3 linked regions of the Xenopus tropicalis genome follow. The protein of the gene in region 2 interacts with the protein of the main gene of each other region in a biochemical or structural test. Links are inferred from orthologs where the notes say so. Each region holds a gene or a part of one and is shown on either strand. Other genes may lie near its edges.

Region 1 (7,863 bases), on a different chromosome or scaffold from region 2:
TGTTGATTCAGAATTTCATGGTGTCAACAAGTCCCAAAAAAGTTGGGACAAGGCCATTTTCACCACTGTGTGGCATCTCCCCTTCTTCTTACAACACTCAACAGAAGTCTGGGGACCGAGGAGACCAGTTTCTCAAGTTTAGGAATAGGAATGCTCTCCCATTCTTGTCTAATACAGGCCTCTAACTGTTCAATCGTCTTGGGCCTTCTTTGTCGCACCTTCCTCTTTATGATGCGCCAAATGTTCTCTATAGGTGAAAGATCTGGACTGCAGACTGGCCATTTCAGTACCCGGATCCTTCTCCTACCCAGCCATGATGTTGTGATTGATGCAGAATGTGGTCTGGCATTATCTTGTTGAAAAATGCAGGGTCTTCCCTGAAAGAGATGATGTCTGGATGGGAGCATATGTTGTTCTAGAACCTGAATATATTTTTCTGCATTGATGCTGCCTTTCCAGACATGCAAGCTGCCCATGCCACACGCACTCATGCAACCCCATACCATCAGAGATGCAGGCTTCTGAACTGAGCGTTGATAACAACTTCGGTTGTCCTTGTCCTCTTTGGTCCGGATGACATTGTGTCCCAGATTTCCAAAAAGAACTTCGAATCGTGACTCGTCTGACCACAGAACAGTCTTCCATTTTGCCACACTCCATTTTAAATGATCCCTGGCCCAGTGAAAACGCCTGAGCTTGTGGATCTTGCTTAGAAATGGCTTCTTCTTTGCACTGTAGAGTTTCAGCTGGCAACGGCGGATGGCACGGTGGATTGTGTTCACTGACAATGGTTTCTGGAAGTATTCCTGAGCCCATTCTGTGATTTCCTTTACAGTAGCATTCCTGTTTGTGGTGCAGTGTCGTTTAAGGGCCCAGAGATCACAGGCATCCAGTATGGTTTTACGGCCTTGACCCTTACGCACAGAGATTGTTCCAGATTCTCTGAATCTTTGGATGATGTTATGCACAGTTGATGATGATAGATGCAAAATCTTTGCAATTTTTCGCTGGGTAACACCTTTCTGATATTGCTCCACTATCTTTCTGTGCAACATTGTGGGAATTGGTGATCCTCTACCCATCTTGGCTTCTGAGAGACACTGCAACTCTGAGAAGCTCTTTTTATACCCAATCATGTTGCCAATTGACCTAATTAGTGTTATTTGGTCTTCCAGCTCTTCGTTATGCTCATATTTACTTTTTCCAGCCTCTTATTGCTACTTGTCCCAACTTTTTTGGGATTTGTTGACACTATGAAATTCTGAATCAACATATTTTTCCCTTAAAATGGTACATTTTCTCAGTTTAAACTTTTGTTCCGTGATTTATGTTCTATTCTGAATAAAATATTAGAAGTTGGCACCTCCACATCATTGCGTTCAGTTTTTATTCACAATTTGTTTAGTGTCCCAACTTTTTTGGAATCCGGTTTGTACGTAAATGTAATGACACAAAGGCACCACCAATAGAAGGAACCATGTCCCAATCTAGAAAACAGAATATTTCAGCCATGTGCAGTAGTTACCTTTGTGTTTGTATTGCATCATGGAACATTAATGGCACTTTTCAGTCAATGGCAAAAAGTGTAGTGTTCTGTATTGTTTGGCCCCACCAGAAATGCAAGCTATTGCCATTTGGCTGGTCCAATGAATGGTTTCGAAGAGAATGCATTATTGGCGCTATTATACAGCCAAGGGCAATCTTACAAAGGCAACTATAATACCCATCACCATGCAACAGTTTTCAGCTCTTTGGAGATAGTGACAGCGGCATCTTAAAGGGGTAGTTCACCTTTAAGTTAACTTTAAGTGTGTTATAGAATGGCCAATCATTCTAATCAATTTTTCAATTGGTCTTTATACATTGATTTTTTTATAGTTTTTAAATTATTTGCCTTCTTTTTCTAACGCTTTGCCGATTTCTAATGGGGGTCACTGACCCCAGCAGCCAAAAAACTCTGTGAGGCTGCAGTTTTATTGTTATATTGTATATCTTAATTTTCTATTCTGGTCCTTCCCTATTCATATATCAGTCTCTCATTCAAACCACTCCCTGGTTGCTAAAGTAATTTGGACCATACCAACCAAATAGCTGCGGAAACTATAAACTAGAGAGCTGCTGAACAAAAAGTTCAATAACAAACAAACTACAAATAATAAAAAATGAACATCAGTTGCAAATTGCCTCAGAATATTACGCTCTACTGTCATACAAAAGTTAACTTATAGTTGAACAATCCCTTTAACAACAGCTGGAGAAGCACAGAAAACACAAGCACTGGCACTTGTCACGATGCCAAGCACGCATGCTGATTCTTGTGTAATCCTAATTGTACATCCCGGAAGATAAATTACTTGACCATATACAATTTGGCCTAATCAAGTTATCAGTAATAAGGAAACTGTATGCAGGGGGCAGATTTTTCCAAGAACCTATTTTGTTCTGGCTAACCCAATCTTACATAGTTACATAGGGTTGAAAAAAGACCATTGTCCATCAAGTTCAACCCATCCGAGCAAACCCAGCACACAACCCACACTAACCAATCTATACACTCACATACATAAACCATACACACAACCAGTAATACTAACTGTAGATATTAGTATCACAATAGCCTTGGATATTCTGCTTGTTCAAAAACTCATCCAGGCACCTCTTAAAGGCATTAACAGAGTCTGCCATTACCACATCACTAGGAAGGGCATTCCACAGCCTCACTGCCCTCAACGTGAAAAACCACCTACGCTGCTTCAAATGGAAGCTCCATTCCTCTAATCTAAAGGGGTGACCTCTGGTGCGTTGATTGTTTTTATGGGAAAAAAGAACATCCCCCAACTGCCTATAATCCCCTCTAATTTTGATTATTATATGATTTGAGGAGGGTATACGGCAGGGGGTCTGTTAGCCTTGCTGAAAAACACCCAAACTTGGTTAGCCATTTCCCAATAAGTGCAGCCTGTTTAACTAGGTACAGGATCCAGTCAACAAAATCTGTGGAAATAACCTAAAAATAAAAATCCTTTAAAGACATTACACATTAAAAGATACAGTTTAATAGGGGCAATGTCTGCCAGTTATTTTGAAGTAATAATGTCTCACAGACTGATCTATGCAGACCTTGAGCAGGCTAGAGTGGGTCATAAAAATCACTTGGAGACAGTGGGCCTCCAGTTGGTCTGTCCAGAGCTAGAAAATATGCATAGATATTTAGTAATAAGCCACTTGAAAGTGCCGTGTAATAAATAGCCATCATCCATTGCTGCTTTTTCCTTTACACTCTAGCTCTGCCAGAAGTTTCCCATTGACCTAAATGGGAAATTCCATAAAAATAATGGTGGTGTTAATTATGAACAGGCAGTGTAAAATAAAATTAAAGCCTTTATAAATGTGTCAGTTATTTTACACTGCTTTTTAAAGTGTTTTCAGAAGTAAATAAACAGTCCCTTTGTGTTGCTTTTTTATAGAATGCTAAATATGGTTCTAGCTGCCCAATTCTGTCAGCCAGGGGACATTTGAATGTTACCTGGACCTGACCCTGCTCGGTTGCAACAACAGTTTGGCTTGTTCTAAATATGTGAAATAATTAATTCTGTAAAAGCAGAAAATCAGTTTTTCAACAGACTTAAGCAAAGGGAAATTGTGAACAATACAGTACCTTATCCTTGGTAGCATTGCGGTGGCTGTAAAATGTTACAACTCTCTACATCTGCAGTAAGGGCATTAGTAACTGAACAAAGAGAACTACATTTTAGCTTTAAATTAATGTTTATGTACTAAATTATAAAGATAAAATACCCAGGGAACATACTATTTATTGCTAATCCCCACGGTTTTATAGACAATTACTCATTTCAAACATTTGATTAAACTACAAAATGCTCTATGATGATACTCTCACATAATTCAGTGCGACAGGGCTTAGATTGTAAATGGTATAGAGGCATATTTCATCTGCACCATTTTACAGTACTAAACCCGCATAAAACATGTAAAGTTTGTGGATATTTACCTTAGTGATATAGGAATCATGCAGGAATCATATAAACAAGGTAATATGCCTAGAATTCTCTATGCAGCAAGGAAATGTTATATAGCAAAAATGGAACACAAAGCTATGCCAAGTGCAACACAATACAACCATCTGGTGGCTCATAACCCTTTGGTAGTTGGTCAAGGGGTAGTGAGGTGAACATTTAAGACATGACAGACATGCAAATAAAACCCCAGAATTGTAAAAGGGATGTCTTTACCTGCATGTTCACTGCACAAATGTCACATGGGTGCCATAATCATGGGGTATAGCTATGGGTCTATACACACGGGGGTTTGTACCAGAGCCAGCAGCATTATTGAAATCATGTCTGAAAAGACAGAAAAACAGGGAACAATTTCCCTATGGAGCAATCTACACTGCCACTAGACAATTAGTGCCAAAAAATATAATTTACTTGTACTGAAATGCTCTATAGAAATGTGACCTATTTTTTAGCAATGCTGTGCATGTATAGAATACCCAGCTTGTACACAAGCTATTTTTGAGCTTGGCAATTTGTGTTTGTTCTTGTGTTTGTTCCATTTGCCAATAGAGACATAATACAGCATTTTAGGTCCAGCAAGCATTTTTGCAAGCTGAAGGCAATATAGCTGGCAGGTATAGAAACTTATGTAGAGTACTATGGCAATATCATTTGTTTGTGCCAGTTGAAATCGAATACACTGCATTATACAAAACCCTAACTCACAGTACTACAATGATATAGGACTCCAATGCAGTCTGCAGGGGCTGGCACACATATGGCTCCGCTCCTGTGATTCCTGGCACAGATTACACAAACCCACAGGTGTTGGTCCAATGAATGATAACTTTCATGAATATTTGGAGCATTGCAACTTACCAAACAGTGCCATAGGCTCCTGATCCCACAGCCACCAGGTCTCTGTACCTCTCCTTCACCTCCCAGACGGTCTTATTGACGTCCTGCCTATAGTATCCCTTCTTGGGCAACGGGGAGGTGGACATGGCTACTAGTTGCCAGCAGGCTCCTGTTGCACTAGTACTATGTGAATGTGGGTCCCAGGCAGAGTCACCTGACTGCTGATACTGGGCGGCTCTCCTGAGAGGTACAGTAATGTCACGGTGAGCAGTACTGACTTGTCCTGCTCTTATTCACCATGAGGGACCGGCTGCCTTCTTTACGTAGAACAGTCTCTTCCGACCAGCCCCTCTTTCTGCGTCTTCGCTCTTCGGTCAGCTCTCGCCTTCCACTTTCGTTTTCCTTTTGTCCACTGTGCGTATTTCCCGCACCCTCAGCCTGCACAGTAGCTGCCCAGTGACGGGAAGTATTTCCCATATAGAGCCCGGAGCTTTGTGCCGTCACGTGACCCGGCCAGTCCTTCTCCCCTCCCTTCTCCAGTGCGCAGATTAGTACTTAACCCACTCACTGCTCTAGTCCGACACAGTCCTAAAGTGATTTGGGAAGTTATGTGGCCGGGAATTCGCTCACACGTTCATACGTGTTATGACCCTTCGCTACAAGAAGACGATCTTTGCATTATTTTTCAATGTGAAGCTTTATGACCTCTCTTGGCATGAAGTGCCATTATTCAATTATTATTCAATAACCCACTGCTACTACTAGGCAGTTCAACCTAACAAATTCATTCTTCCCCAATGGGTTTTTATCAGACTCGGTTTACATTATTACTAATGCTTATTTGTAATTATTATTTGTTCGTCTGTGAAATTAGATTACACAGTTGTAATATCTCAATGTGGCTGTAGTCCCAGTGTACCAAATCTAGAACAGGCTTTTGTACCTGTAAATTTAAATTGCCATTATTAAAGGCCCCTGCTGAGCTCCAAATAATCTTGGGGCAAAAGAGCCAACTCAGCCTATTGTTATGCTCCTATAAATGCAACAGACTCTTTTGACACAATTACAAGCTATAAAAGGTCCCATTGTAATATTAAGTAAGGGTGTAGCTTAGTAGCTAAAAGGGTTGTGACCATAATGCTGGCAGCAGGGGCCTAAGGGGACACAAATAATATATTTTCCCATAGAATAACCAAAAATGCAGATTAAATGAGATATTTAGTAACGCCACATGCAAGGGTCAAGGAATATTGGTGAAGGGGTTGGATTAATACTTCCTGGTCAGCAGGGTAATTAAACCATAGCAACCAAATAACAGTCAAAACTCTAAGCCTGACAGCTGCAGAAGAAACTATAGGTTTTAATGACCTATCATTTCCCATTAGGGACCAGGCCCAGCCCCAAGGGAGCATGATATTCTTGGATGCTGTAGTGTAGTTTATACATTATATTCATGTGCAGCACCCTGAACAGACAGGTCCTGCATGCAACTTACACTATTTATATAGTGTTTGAGATGCAAGATTAAGCACGCCTAAACTCATGTGCGATTTGATTCAGCTTTATTTTGCCTGATTGTACCCGCCTGCATCAGGATCTGCATTTTAGCACAGCTGCGTTACAATGTATTTCCTTAAACACAACATGCTGCATTTTTATGCCTTTAACATGCCTTATAATTCAATCAAACAGTTGTCAAAAAATATGTTTTTATTTATTCAAGAAGTTGTGTGTTTATCAAGCTGGGTTCAAATGTGTTCTGTAAAGTTTAGAACTGACAACTCCTATGAATGAATAAGAATCTTCCTATATACTGTTCTTCTTCAGTGACTGCTATGAGATGGAGCATCTATTTTGCATCTAGAGGGTAATTACACACTAGTATAAATTCACAGAGCAAAGAAAATGGAGATACACATACCCACCAGGATTCCACAGTTTTTGCCCAGTGGGTTGTGAAATGGCACCTTTCACTGACTTTTATTGTATGATAAAATATCTAACCAATTCTGTTTTGCATATGTGTTTAAATTGCCCATGAAATTTAGACATTACAATGCCTTGAATGCTACTGCCTCCCCCAGCAATGGGTCTGTTGTCTCTATTATCAGGTGCCTGAATGTGAGCATGGTTTCTTTTTCAGTGAGGAGAAAAACAAATAAAAGTTAATGCTCTTTGCTTGGATCTGGCCAAGATGGGGGCAATGCATGGGCAGATTTAAGCTTCTGATTTAGGTAATTCAAACTGATTTGGCAGTTTATCTGCCTGTGTATGGCGCACTCTGATGGGCATTCCCAACAAGTATCTGGCAGACTTGATTTTCCATTGTATCAGGGACCACATTGGCTTATTGATGTGGTCCTCATTCCAATGGCTGCTATTCGCGGTACTGTAATTAGATCATTTGGACCTATATCCCGATATTGGGCTATATTGGGAGAAAGACCAGCTAATTTGGCAACCTCACCAAATAAGCAAATCTTATGGTGTATGGTTTTACCATCACTTTCTAACCAGTGGAATTTACAAACTAATTTAACTCTCAAAGACATACATATGCACAAAGCATACAATTCAATCAGGAGGGAACCTTTGATCATTGTCCAATGGAAAGATACCTTTGCAATTGCAGAAAACCTTCTCAAATACAGGCAGAGCAAAAGTTTTTTTTTGTTTTACAATCCAATCATCTTTACTACTCATTTACTCAGCCTAAGCGTACAAAATATTTATTCTGGGCAGCAGGTTCACTTTTATAGTCAGCATGGAGGCCATATGCAATGCCCACACTGCCAAAAAAACTACAATGTATTGCACAGAATGAGGTTGTGTTACATAAAGCAAGGCATATCCCAGCAGCATGAGTCCATGCAATGTGCATTCAAATTAGTTCTCTGTCCCTTCATAAAAATTTAGCCCCATGCACATTTCAATTAGGAAAACATTATTTCAGCCTGGGCTTAGCCTATAAAACCCAGTAAATGGT
Region 2 (7,396 bases):
CGTTTCTGGGGCTGCTGCCACTTCCCCTTACCCGCTCCACGTTTACCTCTTCTATGTCGGGACCGAGTCGCTAGTGCAGAGAGTGCCTATCGTAAAACTGAGCACTATTGTGCTTTTTGCACTAAAAGAGATGAATTTCTGTTTAAAAAAAAACAGAAATTCGGCTCTTAAAGTTACCAGAGGCGGCTTTTGCTGTCCCTGCCAACTATTTGCACTCTGCCGCTGAAGGCAAGATTCTCACCATGCCCTGATAGGGCAGGCAAAGTCAGCAATGTGGCTACTCCCTCAATGAGCAGATACAGGCAGATCAAAAGCCCTATTTATTCTAGAGATGCACCAAATCCACTACTTTAGAATTTGGCCTAATCCCAAACTCTGTGAAATCCTGACTGAATCCTGGATATGGTGCATCCCTAATTTATTTATTTGTATGACACATATACCAACAGCTTTTAAAATATCTTAGTCAGATTTTTTTTTCCCCACACTTTACTTTCTAGCTAAGTGCTGAACAGAGTTGTGTCTATTGTAAAGCTGAGCTGGTTGTAATCATAAAGCAGCGAGCTCAGAGGAAATTTTTTTTACCGCAGGCACTGAACTCAACTTGTGGAATTCCAAATATGTAAAATTCTATTGGCCACTGACATATTTTATTTTACTGTGAAAATACTAAAAATAGATAAGAGCAATAATAATGCAAAACTGCAAAATCCTGTACTTCCTGTTGAACATCAGGGGGCAGCACAGTATCACTGTCATGCAATCTAAAAAGTAGAAAAATGAGAAGTGTGCCTGGCAGAATCAGCCCTTTGTGAGCTGAGTGTAGGGAGTCTAGGCACAATCTAGTTACACTTTTAAGTGGATTTCAGAAAAAAAATTGCTCCTTTATTACTAGCGATACCAACTTGAATCATTTCAATACAAATATGTCAGGTTTCTTTTTAAACATATAAAAACAAAAAAAAAATCCTCACAGTGTAATTTAAGTCCTCCCCCACCTTACATTGTGAACTTAAGGGCCTTGGGACTTCATTCCCTCTGCTCTCTAGAGAACTGGTGCAACACCCACAATGAAAAGTAGTGAGACTTGAAGTCCCAGAAAGCACCACTTAACAATGGAATAAGGTAAGGAAGGGCTTTCATTACACTGTGCTCCTAAAGGGGGTGGTCTCAGTGAGCACAGAGACAGACTATCATGGTTTCCTTTTAATCTGTGGCTGTGTAAATAATAAAAAAAAAAAACGGTTTGTATTTATGTTTCAAAGTTCTGCACCTTTTTTATATAAGCCTAACGGAATAAGCTCATGTAAAAAAAGGTATATTTTGCCTTTAAAGTAAAAGCACTTAAGGTCAGAAGTGTTTCCATGTTTTTAATTAGCTGTGTCTATAACGTAGCCTTTTAACTATTGTTAAACTGCAACAATCTCCATCTAACACTTTTGCAAGATATACAAAATCACATTGCATATAAATTGAACAGAAAACAAAACAGGTCAGCTTACCTTCTCAAGCTTTTTTGCCTCAATATGCCGTAAGACCTGCTCTCTCCAGTCATGAGGGACTTTACTTCTTCCTTGAGTGTCTAATAACGAATGCTCTGAGTTCACCCTGGCATTTGGCTTTTTAGAGGGGCTAGTCCGAGAGTAGTTAAAATCACTGACAGACATTGTTCTCTCAGGAATATCATTAATGGACGGCCGTGCACTTTGCGGCCTGGGCACATTCGGGCCATCAATACTATATGTCCTGGCAGACATTGGTCTCTGTGGACCAGGCATCATGTGATTTCCTCTGCTCACTGTATGTAGATCTCTGTAAGTCATATAATCCCCCTCTGGCACAAGCACCCTTCTAGCAGACCCTGCCTCCCCGAGAGATACAGATGCATTTGAAGAAACGCTGCCTTGTCTTTGAAGTGTACTTCGCGTCGCTACTTGAAGAAGCCGATCATTTGGTGTTGGGGCCCACGCTTCCACATGCCTAGGCCCCATCCTTTGATGCACATTATACATGTTACTTGATCTAACGTTGTTGTGATTGGAAAAATTCAAGTTAGAAGGGTGTTTGACATAGTTGGGGTTATCTATGCTATCTGATGGGTGGAAGCGAGACGAAGGCAAAGTTCCTTGTTCAACAGGGGCACTTTGTTTCTGTGACCACAGGTTATCTTTGGCTGTAGCACTGGTGCTATACTGCACATTATATTGAGGCACAGCAGACATTGGAGATCCCTGGGGCCCTGCCACTGCATATGGCCCCTCAGGATTGTGGTTGGTATCAAATTTAAACAGCATTTTCTTTATGGATGACGATGCTGCTAAGTCAGAGGAAGAGGACGACCCGGTGAACACTTGTAAGGGCTGATCACAAAGAAGAGTTGCCGACTTACTTCTGACAATATTTTGCCCTTCAGCACTTGCAGAAGACATCCTTGTAGCATATTGTGGTGCACTGTTATCGCTGAGGACACTGTAGATCCTTAGTGCTCCAGTCTCAATGTTTGTGATGCTTTGAGACTTCACTACTGAGCCCACTACTGAGCCCACACTGTCCCCAAGTGACAGGTCATCGGTGCTCTTTGAGATGCACATATCAACAGAAGGCACAGAGTCCTCTGAAGTGCTCCTTACCGGCTCACTGGTGTCTGGAGACACTGGCTCTTCAGGCAAATGGCCGTTTACTCTATTCATCACACAGACTCCAGAGAATTTATTCCCATTTTCTATGTTGTCTGTTTCATCATTGTAATTGCCAAAACTTTTATTGGAGACCCTATCTTTTGAAATCACGGAATTTTCCACAGAGTTAGAATGTATTTTATCTTCACAAGCGACGTTGTTGTTGTTTTTGTTTATTTGGTTTAGGTTAAGTGGCTTTTCCATGGAGTTAATTACTCGTCTGTCTCTCGTAACTAGTTCAACGTCGTTGTTTATATCTGGTAGCTCAGCTAGTTCTCTTTTATCAGCAGGGCTCAGCTTGTCTCCATTTTGCATAAAGTTATTTAAGTTTTCATCTTCTTGTCTGAAAAGCAAAATAAAGTGAGAATCAGTACAGAATATTAATAAAAATAGCAAAATGCAAACAGTATATACAGAAGTGGAAGTATATACTACACAAGGTTAAAACTTTATTTTAATGTTTAGTATTACGAACAGCTCAACTACTGGAAATGGCTTGATGTCACTGCATGCTTTCATCAGGAAAAGATTGCTTTTTGCAAACACAGGCCAATTAGCCATTGCAATAGATAATGACAAAGACAGTCAGTGTTTAAAGGAGAAAGTCATTTTGGGATTTTTTTGCCAATAGAATGCCACATTAGTTCCACCTAGAACACTATATTTATTCTGCAGAAAGCTTTACTATACCTGAGTAAAAGGGCCCTAGAAGCTCCCTCCGTTTGTTTAAGACAGCAGTTGCCATTTTAGCTTGATCTCCCTTAGCTTCCATGCTGCAGCTCTAGAGGCTGGTAGCACAGATTGCACATTCTGATGGGAGGGGGAGTGAATTCTTCTGAATTCTTATGGGAGGGGGAGCAGAAGATGGCAGGAGGATGGGGAGAGAGGAGAGAGCTGCACAGACTTCGGCCCCAGGAATGAAGGATTTTTCTGAGAGGAAGTCTGATACAGAAGAACATGTTTATACAAAAGAAGAAAAAAACCTGTGTTTCTTTTGATAGAGGACTCAGTGCAGCATTACTGTAAGTGCTTATAGCTGTATTTACATAGACTTTTCTGATAAAGCTTACTTAGTTTTTACCTTTCCATCTCATTTAACATGGACAACATAAATTGCTAAATTAGATTTTCAACCCAAACATTGGCTTAGAAACATATATGCACCTTGTTACAAAACTATGTTCTAATGTAGAAAGGCATTTGACATATTTAGTGTAGATTGTGGAGACTCACAAAACCATATGGGAATGCACTTTTGGGTCCAAACCCATAGGGTAAGAATCGCTGCTCTTGTTTATGCACCACTGTAGTACTTACAAATATGTATATTCTGTGTAAGATAACTTCTATATATGCATTGTAAAACATATATATGTGTATTACTGGTTGTATATATATATATAGTTTATGTATGTGAGTGTATAGATTGGTTAGTATAGGTTGTGTGCTGGGTTTACTCGGATGGGTTGAACTTGATGGACAATGGTCTTTTTTCAACCCTATGTAACTATGTAACTATATAAAAAAGGTTCTATTCTTTGCAGACATAAAACTGTAGGTGAATTTAACAGATTTATCAAAAGTTGTACCATCTGAATGAAGGAAACTTAGAAACTGACCCAGGCTTGCATTAGAGTATTAGTCTAGGAGGTTAATAGCAATACCTTTTCAGGAAGAAAAATACAGTGCAGTATATAAAAAGACACGTTACTGGCAACTTTTATCAAATACAAAATCTGTTCACCACAAACCTTATTTTCGAATTGGCCCCAATGTTGCAATCTTTCTCCGGAGAACATAATGAAGTATCATGGCTGCTGTCGGTGTTTAGTGAGACAGAGTCTGACATCCGAGATGGCGAGGAGCAATTACTGTTGTTCTGATTACTGTTGCGGGTCACTTCATCAGACAAGGAGTCTGCATCTTTTGTATCATCTGAAACATAATTAATACATATCTCGTCAGTCAGGTCTTCTGGCAAGCTGCCAGTTGTCTAAAATAGTAGTTTTATCCCTTTTATTTATTTATTACAACATACACAACTGCAACAACACTGCATAATTATAAAGGCAGATATTGTCAGGTTTTATACAGTGTACAAAAGTCTTGGAATTCCAGACAGTTTATTAAATGCATGAATTAATAAGAACGTTAGTTGTCTTATACAAAATCTATTGCTCCACTTCATACTTTCCATACAAAATAATTCTCAGAATCATATAGTAAGTAAAGGTGCATGCTATAGAGGAGAAAATAGCTATTTATACATGCCCCTAAGGTATGCTCAACCAAACAAATACTTCTTATTACTTAGGCGCAGATTTATCAAAATTTGAGTTTGTTAAAAAAAAAAATGCGAACGGGAAAATAATAACTGCAACAAAACATGTGTGAAATCTTGTCCCAGAAAATATTTGCACCCTGGCGAGAATCACATTGTTCCATTCAATTTCAAAGAGGCTAAAAAAAACTTTATTTATTTTCCCAGTTATTAAAACATTCAGGTCGTTAGAAATAATTCTCATTGACTTCTAATAAACCTCGCCAGTTTTGACTTGAAAAGTTTTTTCTGGTTGCTTTTCGAGGGTTTTTTTTTTCAGAATACAGACTATTCGTGGTTCTTAATAATATTCTCAAGTATATTCGCATTCATGATTATTTGCTGCGTTTTTTTCTCAAATTGTAAAATCAGCCCCTTAGAAAACTGTCATGTGTCATAGCTGCCATCACACTAGTACAGTTGTCTGACAGACACGCCCACACGAGTGAAGCCAGATAATCATTCCGTCAGTTTGTTGCCTACCTTTTTTGTTATTGCTCAAGGCTACTACTTTTGGTTGATTCATGGAGGTCTCTATTAGAGGTGGCCTCATTTCTGCCATCTTCATTTCATCATCGTAAGATAAGTCTTCTGATCCCTGCAGCAGGAGTACATTTAACAAATACTTCATTTAAAACAATTTCCATTTTGAGCAAACTATACCAGGGGTGCCAAAAGGTAGATTTACTGGAAAATCTAGCTGGTGACTAGATCAGAACAGCACAGCCTTGTCAAGGCACCCCAAAATCTAAAGTTAAAAGTGTTCATCAGTCCAACAATTTAAGCAAATATTGCGATTTTTTTTGTTCTCAGTGCCGAGAAGTTTAATACATATTTATTTTATTATACCCAGGATAATGAACTCCATATGAGCCCCACACAATGCAGAAACCCCTAATATACATATCACTGTAATGTCTTCTTTCAAATAGACTAAAACTCATTTTTATATGCTGAAATCCAGCTACAAATCAGAAACAGTTCTTCTCTTTCTGCATCATGTGAAATCTTGGCAGGAGTAGAGGGACTAAAATACTGATGTTATAATTTTTAACAACTTCTCTACAGCTTACAGTCAGCATGCAGGAACTACATAACCCACAATGCACTGCACTGTGGTTCCTTTCCTTATTGACATCATGTGTTCAGGGAATTGTGCGATTTGGAGGATGCAGGCTGAGGGCAGTTGTCTGGCAGTAGTCAGCCAGATCAGCAGGGGAACAGGGGGCCAGGTTTAGGGAACTGTTCCAAATCACATTATTACATGAAAATCATGAAAAAGCTGCATATTTTTTAACTGATGTATATTGCAAAGTTGCTTGAAATTATGTTTACTTAGAAGAATCTTAAGTTGTGTTTAGGTGGCATTCCCTTTTAATTTACATCTAAATCTTTATTATTAGTCTGTGTGTGTCACTCCCTGGCAATTAATCTGGACAAAAACATATAAAACATGGACCCATCACATCATAACCCATCTCTAAAGGCTGTTCTGTTACCTACATATGCTCTCAGCATGGTGTCAGCAGCGAACCTGGAACTAAAAAGCTCTTTCAAACTGTATGGTAGATGGATATCAGTATTTAGCATATACCACTGAACTGTCAGGATATTATATTGAGTGTGTCAGAACCTCTTCCCTTTCATGGCCAAAACAGAGAGTAAAACAACGTTGTACCTCAAGTGTGTCTTCATGGTTGGCTGTTTTCGCATTCCAAAAATTGTTTACAAGAGTGGTTGACTGTGAATTCCCATTAGAATTCTCTGTGCTGGGTTCATGAAGCTTCTTTATACAGTTTGCTGGCATGTTTTTCTCCTTATCCTCTGTATCAATTTCTACCAAGATTGCCTCCGAGGTCTAGAAAAAAAATGAAAGGATATGGAGCTCTTTATACTTTATAACAGCTCTTTATACTTATTCATAACTGTATCCCACATGAAACACTTTTGCTGACAATAGCAAGTAAATGAAGGGGGAACTAAGAAATGTAATGTGTACAATATATATAACGTACTGGTATGGTGCATGTTGGAAAATGGGCAACATAGGAAGCATTCCTGTTTCATTAATATTTGTTATAAAGAGTATGTGGGAATACTTCCATCTGTGTGGAATAGCACTCTATGTCAGGCTGATTTTCTTCTTTGTTGGTGATTGAATAATAGAGTAAATAACAAGCAAGCCTAAACTCATTAAGATCTTGTAATGTTATTTATTATTGTTATTCTTTATACAAGGTTGTCATGCTTCGGTTACTGGAAGGTAGAGCGGGCAACCTCATACTATTAATTGAATACACGAGAATGGTAGGTAACCAAAACAAGTAAGTGTAGGCTTCTTTTTAGAAATGGAGATCCACTGGTAAGCAATGGCAAAATGTAATGCCTTAATATCTGT
Region 3 (8,008 bases), on a different chromosome or scaffold from region 2:
AGTCAATGGGGGGGGGCTGTTTGGGCCTCTGTGTACTTGAAATGTAAGGGCTTATATTGAATCTCAGTCCACATATAAACAAATCCTTAAATATAAAGATTACTTTACAAATTGATTGTGAGATAAAAAAGACAACCATAATAAAGGAAAAAGAAAGATGAAATCATTGGGGGTAACAAAAGTTAGACTCCCTCCAATAATTGTATTTACTTACCTGATAACCTAGGCCGGTTCCCCTGTTAACAGAAAACTGCCCTGGCCTGGAGTTCTTCTCAGCGAGTACCACAGAGCAATCATCTTCTTCCACGTTGTCTTTCTTCCCTACCCTGGGACCACGAATATGCAGTAAAGTGAAATAGATGGCCTTCTTTTGTTAAAGTTCAGCTTTTCACTCTACTATGTATGGCTTCCCGTGTGAAGAAAGAAGAAGCAGGAAGAGGATTGCTCTGTGTTGCTCACTGAGAAGAACTCCGAGCTGGGGCAGTTTCCTGCTAACAGGAGCACCAGTCTGGGGTATCAGATAAATAAATGCAATAACTGGTGGGTGCCTAAGTTTTGGTACCCCCCGACCCCAGTGATTTCAACCTATCCTTCTTTTTTAAAGAAGAACTGAAGATTAACAAAATAATTAGTCTAGAAAAGTTTGGGCAAGGAAGAGCTGTTCTTCCAAAGATGGATGGAGTATTCCTCATATCCTTTTCTGTTGGCACATGGTCAGGGCTGCTGTAAGTTAACTGTAGTGATGAGCAAATTTGTTTATCAGTTTCATAAACTCCAATGTATTTTATGAATTTTTGACATTTTGCAAATTTTTCGACATAATGGGACAGACTCACCCATTGATAGTTACCTGTATTTAGGGGCCTACTCACAATATGCCTTTTTTACACAAAATTAATTTACAATACAAGTCTGATAGTAGTTAATTTAGATGCACATTACATGGCAGCACAGAAATCATTGCAGTCTGTATCAGAATGATCAGCCCTGTAGCATCAGCTACTGTGACATTTGTATCCTTACTTTCTGTTATAGGGCAACTGAATCTCTGGGATGGTACTGTTCAGTATATGAAATACAACATTTCTAGACCTTAGCTGTGCTTTAATGATATGTATGATTAGCTGGTGCAATTTTGTCTACAGGCAAATCTGGCATACAAACTACCAATGCTTTCCTGCCTCCCCCGCTCTTTATTACGATAACACATTACTACTTGCAAGTTTTCTCAGGAATTTCTCAACCTCCCTTCCCAGCAAACCTCCCCACCCTACTATATGTGAAAAACTCAAAAGCCCTCTATTTTTCACTGCCTTTTACTCTTGCTTGTTCCCTGTGGAATAAAAAATGATCCTTCTTTATTTTCCACTAGGAAACACTTACTCCAAAAAAAAAATCCATGGTGGATCCAGAACTGGCTTCTGGAAAAGAATTTCCTAACAGCAGGCACTGGGAAACGCCAGTTACAGATGACCTACGTTGCGTAGTGTAAAGGAAAGGTTAGAAATTCCTGGAACCTGAATATTTATAATCTTCCATTACAGAAGAGCCCAATTCTTAGCTTTACATCTAAGTAAAATTCTGTGCTATTTTCGGCTGTGTGTATGTGTAAAACTGCTGAGCCCAATGTGCCCCCCCACACGTCCCTGTGCCTGTACTCACATGCCCTTCTTGTTCAGGCCTGTTTTGTAACGTGCTTATTTTCTCCTTCTTATATAAATACCTCACAGTGCTCAGTGGGTAATCTGCTCGCTTCATGTGAAAGCTATGCCAGGTCATTTTACTGACACAGAATGCAGATTGACAAACTCTGTGAAACATAATATAATAATATTTTCTGTAAAGCTGCCACAATTAGCCTGTTTAAACAAAGCAGCACTGTGTCATAAGGGAAGTTTTTTTTTTATTTTTACAAGGAAGGATGTTTTTTTTTCTAGCAACCAAGGATATAGGCTGTACCTAAAGGACATGTAAAGTCTATTTCACTTGGGGTTTTCAAAATGTTAGGCACCCCCCAGTGAAATAGATAAGTTTTGTCCCCAGGCTGGTTCTCCTGTTAGGAAAGAACCACACCAGCCTGTGGACAAAACTGTCTGGACTGGGCACCACTCAGATATCTCCTTACCTTATTTCTTATTGCTTGGTGCTTGGCATTCTGTGCATGTGCAGTTGAGTAGATCTCAATGCGCATGCGGAACAAGAATTTGCGCAGGGGATGCCTGGGGCGCCGGTAGAAAGGTTAGTAAAATGGCAGGCGACACTCAGGTTCCTTAGTTTTTTTTCCGAGAGTGTCTATTACACTAGGGGGTTGCCTAACATTTTGGCATCCCCCCCAGTAAAATAGACTTTACATGTTCTTTAAAAAATTTTAGTTATTTGATGTACACTGAGTTACCGCATTCATTAGAATGATACCAACACCTTTCTGTATATGAGGAATTGGCTCATATTGATAACAAAAAACCTGGACTCTAATATTTATTTTATACATACCCTCCTCTTCCAATCCTCCCCAGCTGTACCTTTCTACACTCACATGCTAGCTTCCCATTTCCGAGGGGCACCAAATCTGCCATTCTGAACTGAAAGGTGGCACACTACCTTTAGTAGTGCTCCCTAAAATGTAGTGCTGGTGCCACTGGAGAATATGGAGCAGTGGCCGGCTGAAGATCAAATAATAAGAATAGCTATGTGCTCTCCTTGATACACCTTAAAATTTAGCTTGAAGGTCAGTTAGGATGAGAGTTAAGGTGAAAACATATTTTCTGTACTAGATATTCTTGGAAGTTTGGCTATTGCGTCAATGCATCAACCGTAACATTGTTATGTTGTATAAGAAGAGGCCTACCTAAAGCTTAGGCCTTCAGGGAAGCTTGAAATGTAGAAGTCCAGCAACTACTGTCCTGTATGCTGGAGAAACGTTTATTAAAATTATTTCCTTTTTCTCAGTACATGTATGGGACCTGTAATACAGAATGCTCGGGACATTTGGTTTTCCAGTTAAGGGATCTTTCTGTAGTCTGGATGACCATACTTTAATCACTAATCACCTCTAATCATTTAAACATTAAATAAACCGCCAATATAATATAATTGCCACCAATATGGATCAATGCAGCTTTGTTGCCATCATGTACAAGGTAGTACCTGTACCTTGTGACTGACTTGTACGTGTTGGTAACTAACCTGCATAAATTCATATTTATGGCAAAACAATTCTATTAGGTTTATTTAATGTTAGAATGATTTTAGCAGACCTAAGGTTTGATGAACCAAATTATGGAAAGATCCCTGATACAGCAAACCCCAGGTTCCAAGCATTTGGGATAATAGACCCTATTTGTACTTGCACTCCAGCCTTCCCTAGCCTGGATCCAGCACCCCTGGAACCACATCCATTTGTGTATCAGGGTGTCAAAACTTTAAAAATTAACACCAGGCTGATGGTATGGTATTTTTTCAAAAGCCTGTACATGCCTCCTATTGGAGAGCTCTGTTTTGGTTTAATGTTACCTGTTACTTTCAGGTAGTTTGTTTTTCTTTCAGATTAGAATGATCTCAAAGATATTAAAGGGAAAAAAGGAATTGTGATTGCAAGCCATCAATTCCTAGAATCTGGAATGCATATACCATATGAAACTAAATCAGGTATAGAATAACCATTCCTGTTGTCATGGTATTCCAGCAAAAACAGATTTGTCTAATTTCCCCACATGCTGTGCTGGCATTTCCTGGCCTGTCCCAACTACATCACAACTTTGACCTTTGGGATACATGTTCATGAGGATCACTTATATCCAAGGCATTTGTATTTGTTGTCAATGTATTGTAGAGTGGCTATAAGTCTCAACTCTAGACTTATAGCTTATTGAAACTTATCCCAATCAAAAACACATACCACATGGGTCTAACTTATTATTGCAAGTATTTGTTATACAAAATTATAGTGATGGAGGCTTAACAAGATTTACCTTTTGATACATATTTCTCTGTATAAGTCTCTGTAAGGAAATATATGAAATATATGAAAATCTGTACAGAGTTTGTTGTCTTTCATGCAGAAATGATTATTTTTATATATTTTTATAATGGCATTAAATTCAAGAATGATCAAAAGCCAAACTTGCAGCCTCAAAGAGAAAGTGGAGGCACTGGCTACGTGATGAAGAGTAAAATATATTTAGAAAAACATAATTACATGCAGGAAAAGTTGGAAACTGTCTGGAGAATGTCAATGTTCCCTTTATATTACAGCAAGCTGCAAGCACTTGTGTGACATTTTGAATGTAGAGGGGGATAGGAAACATAAATCCTCCTCTTGTCCAATACTTTTTGCAGGGTAACTGTGAGGAGCAAATCAGAAGGGCGGTACCAAGGATATCCAGCCCACAAGTCTCCAGCTACTGTACTGTTGGACTACAAGCTCCTTGGGCTGTCAGGGGGGTTCTGGGAGTTGTAGTTCAAGAACAAAACAGGAGTGTAAAAGGAGTAACATGGTTAAGTAACCACAGAAGTAGTTTAGAATAAGGGATGATATATGCCATCCTATTGGTTTTGGTATAGGATGCGCAATCAACAGGGTGAATCAAATGTATTAGGGGCTTATAATACTCAACAGGAGATGGGAGACATGGAGAAACAGTTGCAACAAATCTTACAATGATTCTTAAAGTAACAGCATATATAATATATGACTTGTTGTTATGCTCTCATTCATCTACTCTGGGTCCAGCGCCTATCAATGTTATATATAGCAGCAGGGCCCATCACCCCAGTCACACTGATATGGCAGAACTTGTGCCCTGATCATGTTGGGTTGGACAAGCAATCCCTTGCCTAATGGAAAGCACATGATGCTGCTGCCAGCTGGGCATTGCTCCCCGCCTGCCTCTCACCTGGGGATGGTGATGCACTTGGTGCTGATGCTCTGGGTGGTCAGTGCCTTCTCCAGCTCGTCCAGCTGCCCACTCTTCTTCAGTTTCTTCACCAGACTCTTCACTGCCTTCTCACACCATTTCTCCTCTTGCCCATTCTGCTCTCCCTTCTTCCATCCCAGCAGCCTCTTCACGATGGGGGGAGTGAAGGGAAGAATCGAGGACATGACAGCCCCCCAAGCAGAACAGAGATATAATAGGAGAGAAAGGACAGGAGCTGGGGGGCCGCGGGGGAGACAAGGGGACAATCCCTGTCAGGCTGCAGCTCACACACCTATTGTCACTCAGGCTCCTTGGGACTCTTCCCCACTGGCGCACACACACTTTACTCAGCAGCTATTACTACGACTCTCTCTTTTGCCCTCTCTCTCTCTCTCTAGATATATATATACTTCTTACTGTGCACTCTCTGCCCGTACTGTGGCCTCAGTCGCTCCCTGTCCCTCTCTGTGCTTCAGCACTCAACCCCTTCTCTTCGCCTCTAACTTTCTAACCACTCTCCCCCCCCCCTCTTCGCCGACTTACCTCCCCTCTCAGAAAAGCATCCCTCCTTCCCTCCAAAAGGCCACGCCCACTCCATTTCACTGACACCTCTTCTTACGACGACAGAATCTGACCACGCCCCTAATGTCTCGTCCTGCTGAGGACGTAGGCCTTTAATTAAAGGGGAGCCTGTCAGGAACGAGAAGAATCAGTGAGGAGAGGAATCCTCCTCTCGCGATATTTCCCCTCAGCAGCAGCTACAACCTGCGAGCGGGAGGGAGAATTAAATGTGTATTAACACCGAGGTTATTAAGAGTTACTGGTGCATAAAAACTGATACCACAAGCTGCAAAGTATAGCAGAATTATGGGTTTCTGACAGAAAGTCACTTTAAAAAAGCTTAAATAAAAAAGTAAAGGTGATAGTCATTAATGTTGGCCCCTACCTAAAGTGCCTTTGGCTAGACATCCTTGGTTTGGAGTGGCCAGGTCCCTGTAGCTGCCCACCACCCAGTTGCAAGCTTCTGCATATGGCAAACTCAACACCACGCACCCTTTACATTTTGCTTCATCTTTACACTAAATTGGGGATCGTGGGTGATAGCTGGTGGTACTGGCGGGGAGCAGGCCTGGGTGGGGCCCTTGAGATTCAGAACCCAGTGGGTTTTCTTTCAGTGTTCCGCCGGTCAGTCCATCCCTGGGGCTGAGGCCCCAAAAATATGGAACATATATGGCAGAAAATTGATACCAAAAACTAAAAATGTTAATGAATAATGGCATTAGCTATTTTGTGTGTGTAACTCTAATGCCAGACATATAAGGCACACTTAGTAAACTCAGGCAATGCAATCAGTTGGGCACTAATTTGCAGTGGTAAAGGCCAATGAGTCACAGACAGCTTAATTGCACTTTAGTAAGCTGGAGGCAAAGTTTTTGAAGGAGAAGGAAATATTAAATCACTGGGCAGGCTCCAAATTGTTGGCACCTAGGCACAAGCCCTCGGGTGCCCATATAGAATATACGCCCCTGCTTTTTCCCCTTCTGAGGCATACTGGAGACAGCTCTAGACAGATGGAAAAAGAAAGTAAGTGCCCGTTTTTACATTTCTGCCTTGGAGACAAGCTTTTGGAAGCATAGAGATGGAGCTTTACTTCAATCAGTCCACTTGGGCTACCAAATAGCCAATCACAGCCCTTATTTTGCATAATCTACAGAACTTTTTCATGCTTGTGTTGCTCACCAACACTTTTAACATCTGAGTGTGGCTCACATGTAAAAAAGGTTGGGGATTCCTGGTCTAATATATCCATTACATGGCTAATGCTACACTTTGTGTATACTCGCCAAGCCAAAAAAACGAGAAACAAGAGCTGAGAATACGCCCCTACCCTTGAAAAAACTTCTACTTGTGCCTGCACTGTGAAGCATTGAATACGCTCAGGTGCAGGCACATGTAGCCAATATCCACTGAAAATGCAAAGCTACATGTGCTTGCTGTAATCCATTACAGCAAGCACATGTAGAAGTTTTATCAAGCCTAGGGGCGTATTCTCGGCAAGCATTTTTTGGCTTGCCAAGAATATGCAAAGTGTGGCATTAGCCTGTGAGGTTAATATTTAAATCTTGGAGACCTTTACGTGCAGGAAAAACCTTTACATACCTCTCAATGACAACTTCAGGCTTTTAAGGGCCTTGACAATTCAAAAAAATATTATTTTATTATTATGCATTTCAAATTAGTTCTGGGCAGTTTTCTGTCACTAAATTTGTCCAGTTTTAAAACTTTTGTGCATTTGTCTCCATTGCTTTGCTACTGTTTCCTATAACAATCCCTCTTCTAATTGTTAAGGAATTAAGCTGCAGAAATTTTAGACCACTTCCTTCTGAATCCTGCTTTAAAGATTGCTAGAAACAGTGCTGCTGTATAATCAAGAATCAATCAGTCTTTAGAGAACATAACCCAGTAACCTTTGCAATATTGTAACAACATTTTCCAAAAACTACTAATTATTATACATTGTTTTTTAAGGCCTGAAACAAGGGCCGGAACTAGGGGTAGGCAGAAGAGGTACCTGCCTACGGCACAACAATGAGGGGGCTCCAGGTACCTCTCCTGTCTACCCCTAGTCCGTGCTCCCTTGTCATTTTTATTCCCCTCGCCACTTGTTATTGCAAGGGCACAGGGGTGAGGTGGCCGACTGGGTTGCCTAGGTCATCCAGTCGGCTAAGCCCTCCCCTGTCCCAGACCAAGAATAGTAATAGAGTGCAGGGCAGTTTGCCGTACTATAGGATATACATGGCATTGTGTAGGCTAGTCTATGAATAGTTTGCTAAGATACTGAGATGCCCATTCTATAGCTCTCACAGGAGGGTTGCCTAGGGGGTCTGGTTGGCCCGCCCCTGCCTGAAACACAAATGCAAGGTCGGACTGGGGGATGCAGGGCCCACTGGGTGCCCAATTGGTGCTTAATAGTGCTTAGTGATGTAATTTCTGTCACCACTCTCTGGAACTTGTGTATTATAATAAATAAAGTACCCCCTGTTGAAAATAAGAGGCTATAAGAAGTTACCTCGGAGTTCCTCGGCCTTGTG

Evidence for each region. The genes of interacting proteins can lie anywhere in the genome.
Region 1: the proteins of erbin (region 2) and mapk12 interact in a test that uses a peptide from one of them, tested with the Homo sapiens proteins (2 studies listed by BioGRID and IntAct). The link is inferred for Xenopus tropicalis from reciprocal best matches to the Homo sapiens genes ERBIN and MAPK12.
Region 3: the proteins of erbin (region 2) and smad3 form a complex in vitro, tested with the Homo sapiens proteins (2 studies listed by BioGRID). The link is inferred for Xenopus tropicalis from reciprocal best matches to the Homo sapiens genes ERBIN and SMAD3.

The regions. Positions count from the first base shown.
Region 1 is NC_030679.2:71,611,427-71,619,289, reverse strand, and holds the start of mapk12 (mitogen-activated protein kinase 12), read right to left. Parts: upstream 5,391-7,863; 5' UTR 5,024-5,390; coding exon 4,899-5,023; intron 4,365-4,898; exon of another isoform or gene 4,254-4,364; intron 1-4,253. UniProt on the Homo sapiens protein: Serine/threonine kinase which acts as an essential component of the MAP kinase signal transduction pathway.
Region 2 is NC_030677.2:187,517,121-187,524,516, forward strand, and holds part of erbin (erbin), read right to left. Parts: intron 6,857-7,396; coding exon 6,677-6,856; intron 5,597-6,676; coding exon 5,482-5,596; intron 4,614-5,481; coding exon 4,430-4,613; intron 3,022-4,429; coding exon 1,503-3,021; intron 1-1,502. UniProt on the Homo sapiens protein: Acts as an adapter for the receptor ERBB2, in epithelia. By binding the unphosphorylated 'Tyr-1248' of receptor ERBB2, it may contribute to stabilize this unphosphorylated state.
Region 3 is NC_030679.2:117,363,421-117,371,428, reverse strand, and holds the start of smad3 (mothers against decapentaplegic homolog 3), read right to left. Parts: upstream 5,391-8,008; 5' UTR 5,102-5,390; coding exon 4,896-5,101; intron 1-4,895. UniProt on the Homo sapiens protein: Receptor-regulated SMAD (R-SMAD) that is an intracellular signal transducer and transcriptional modulator activated by TGF-beta (transforming growth factor) and activin type 1 receptor kinases.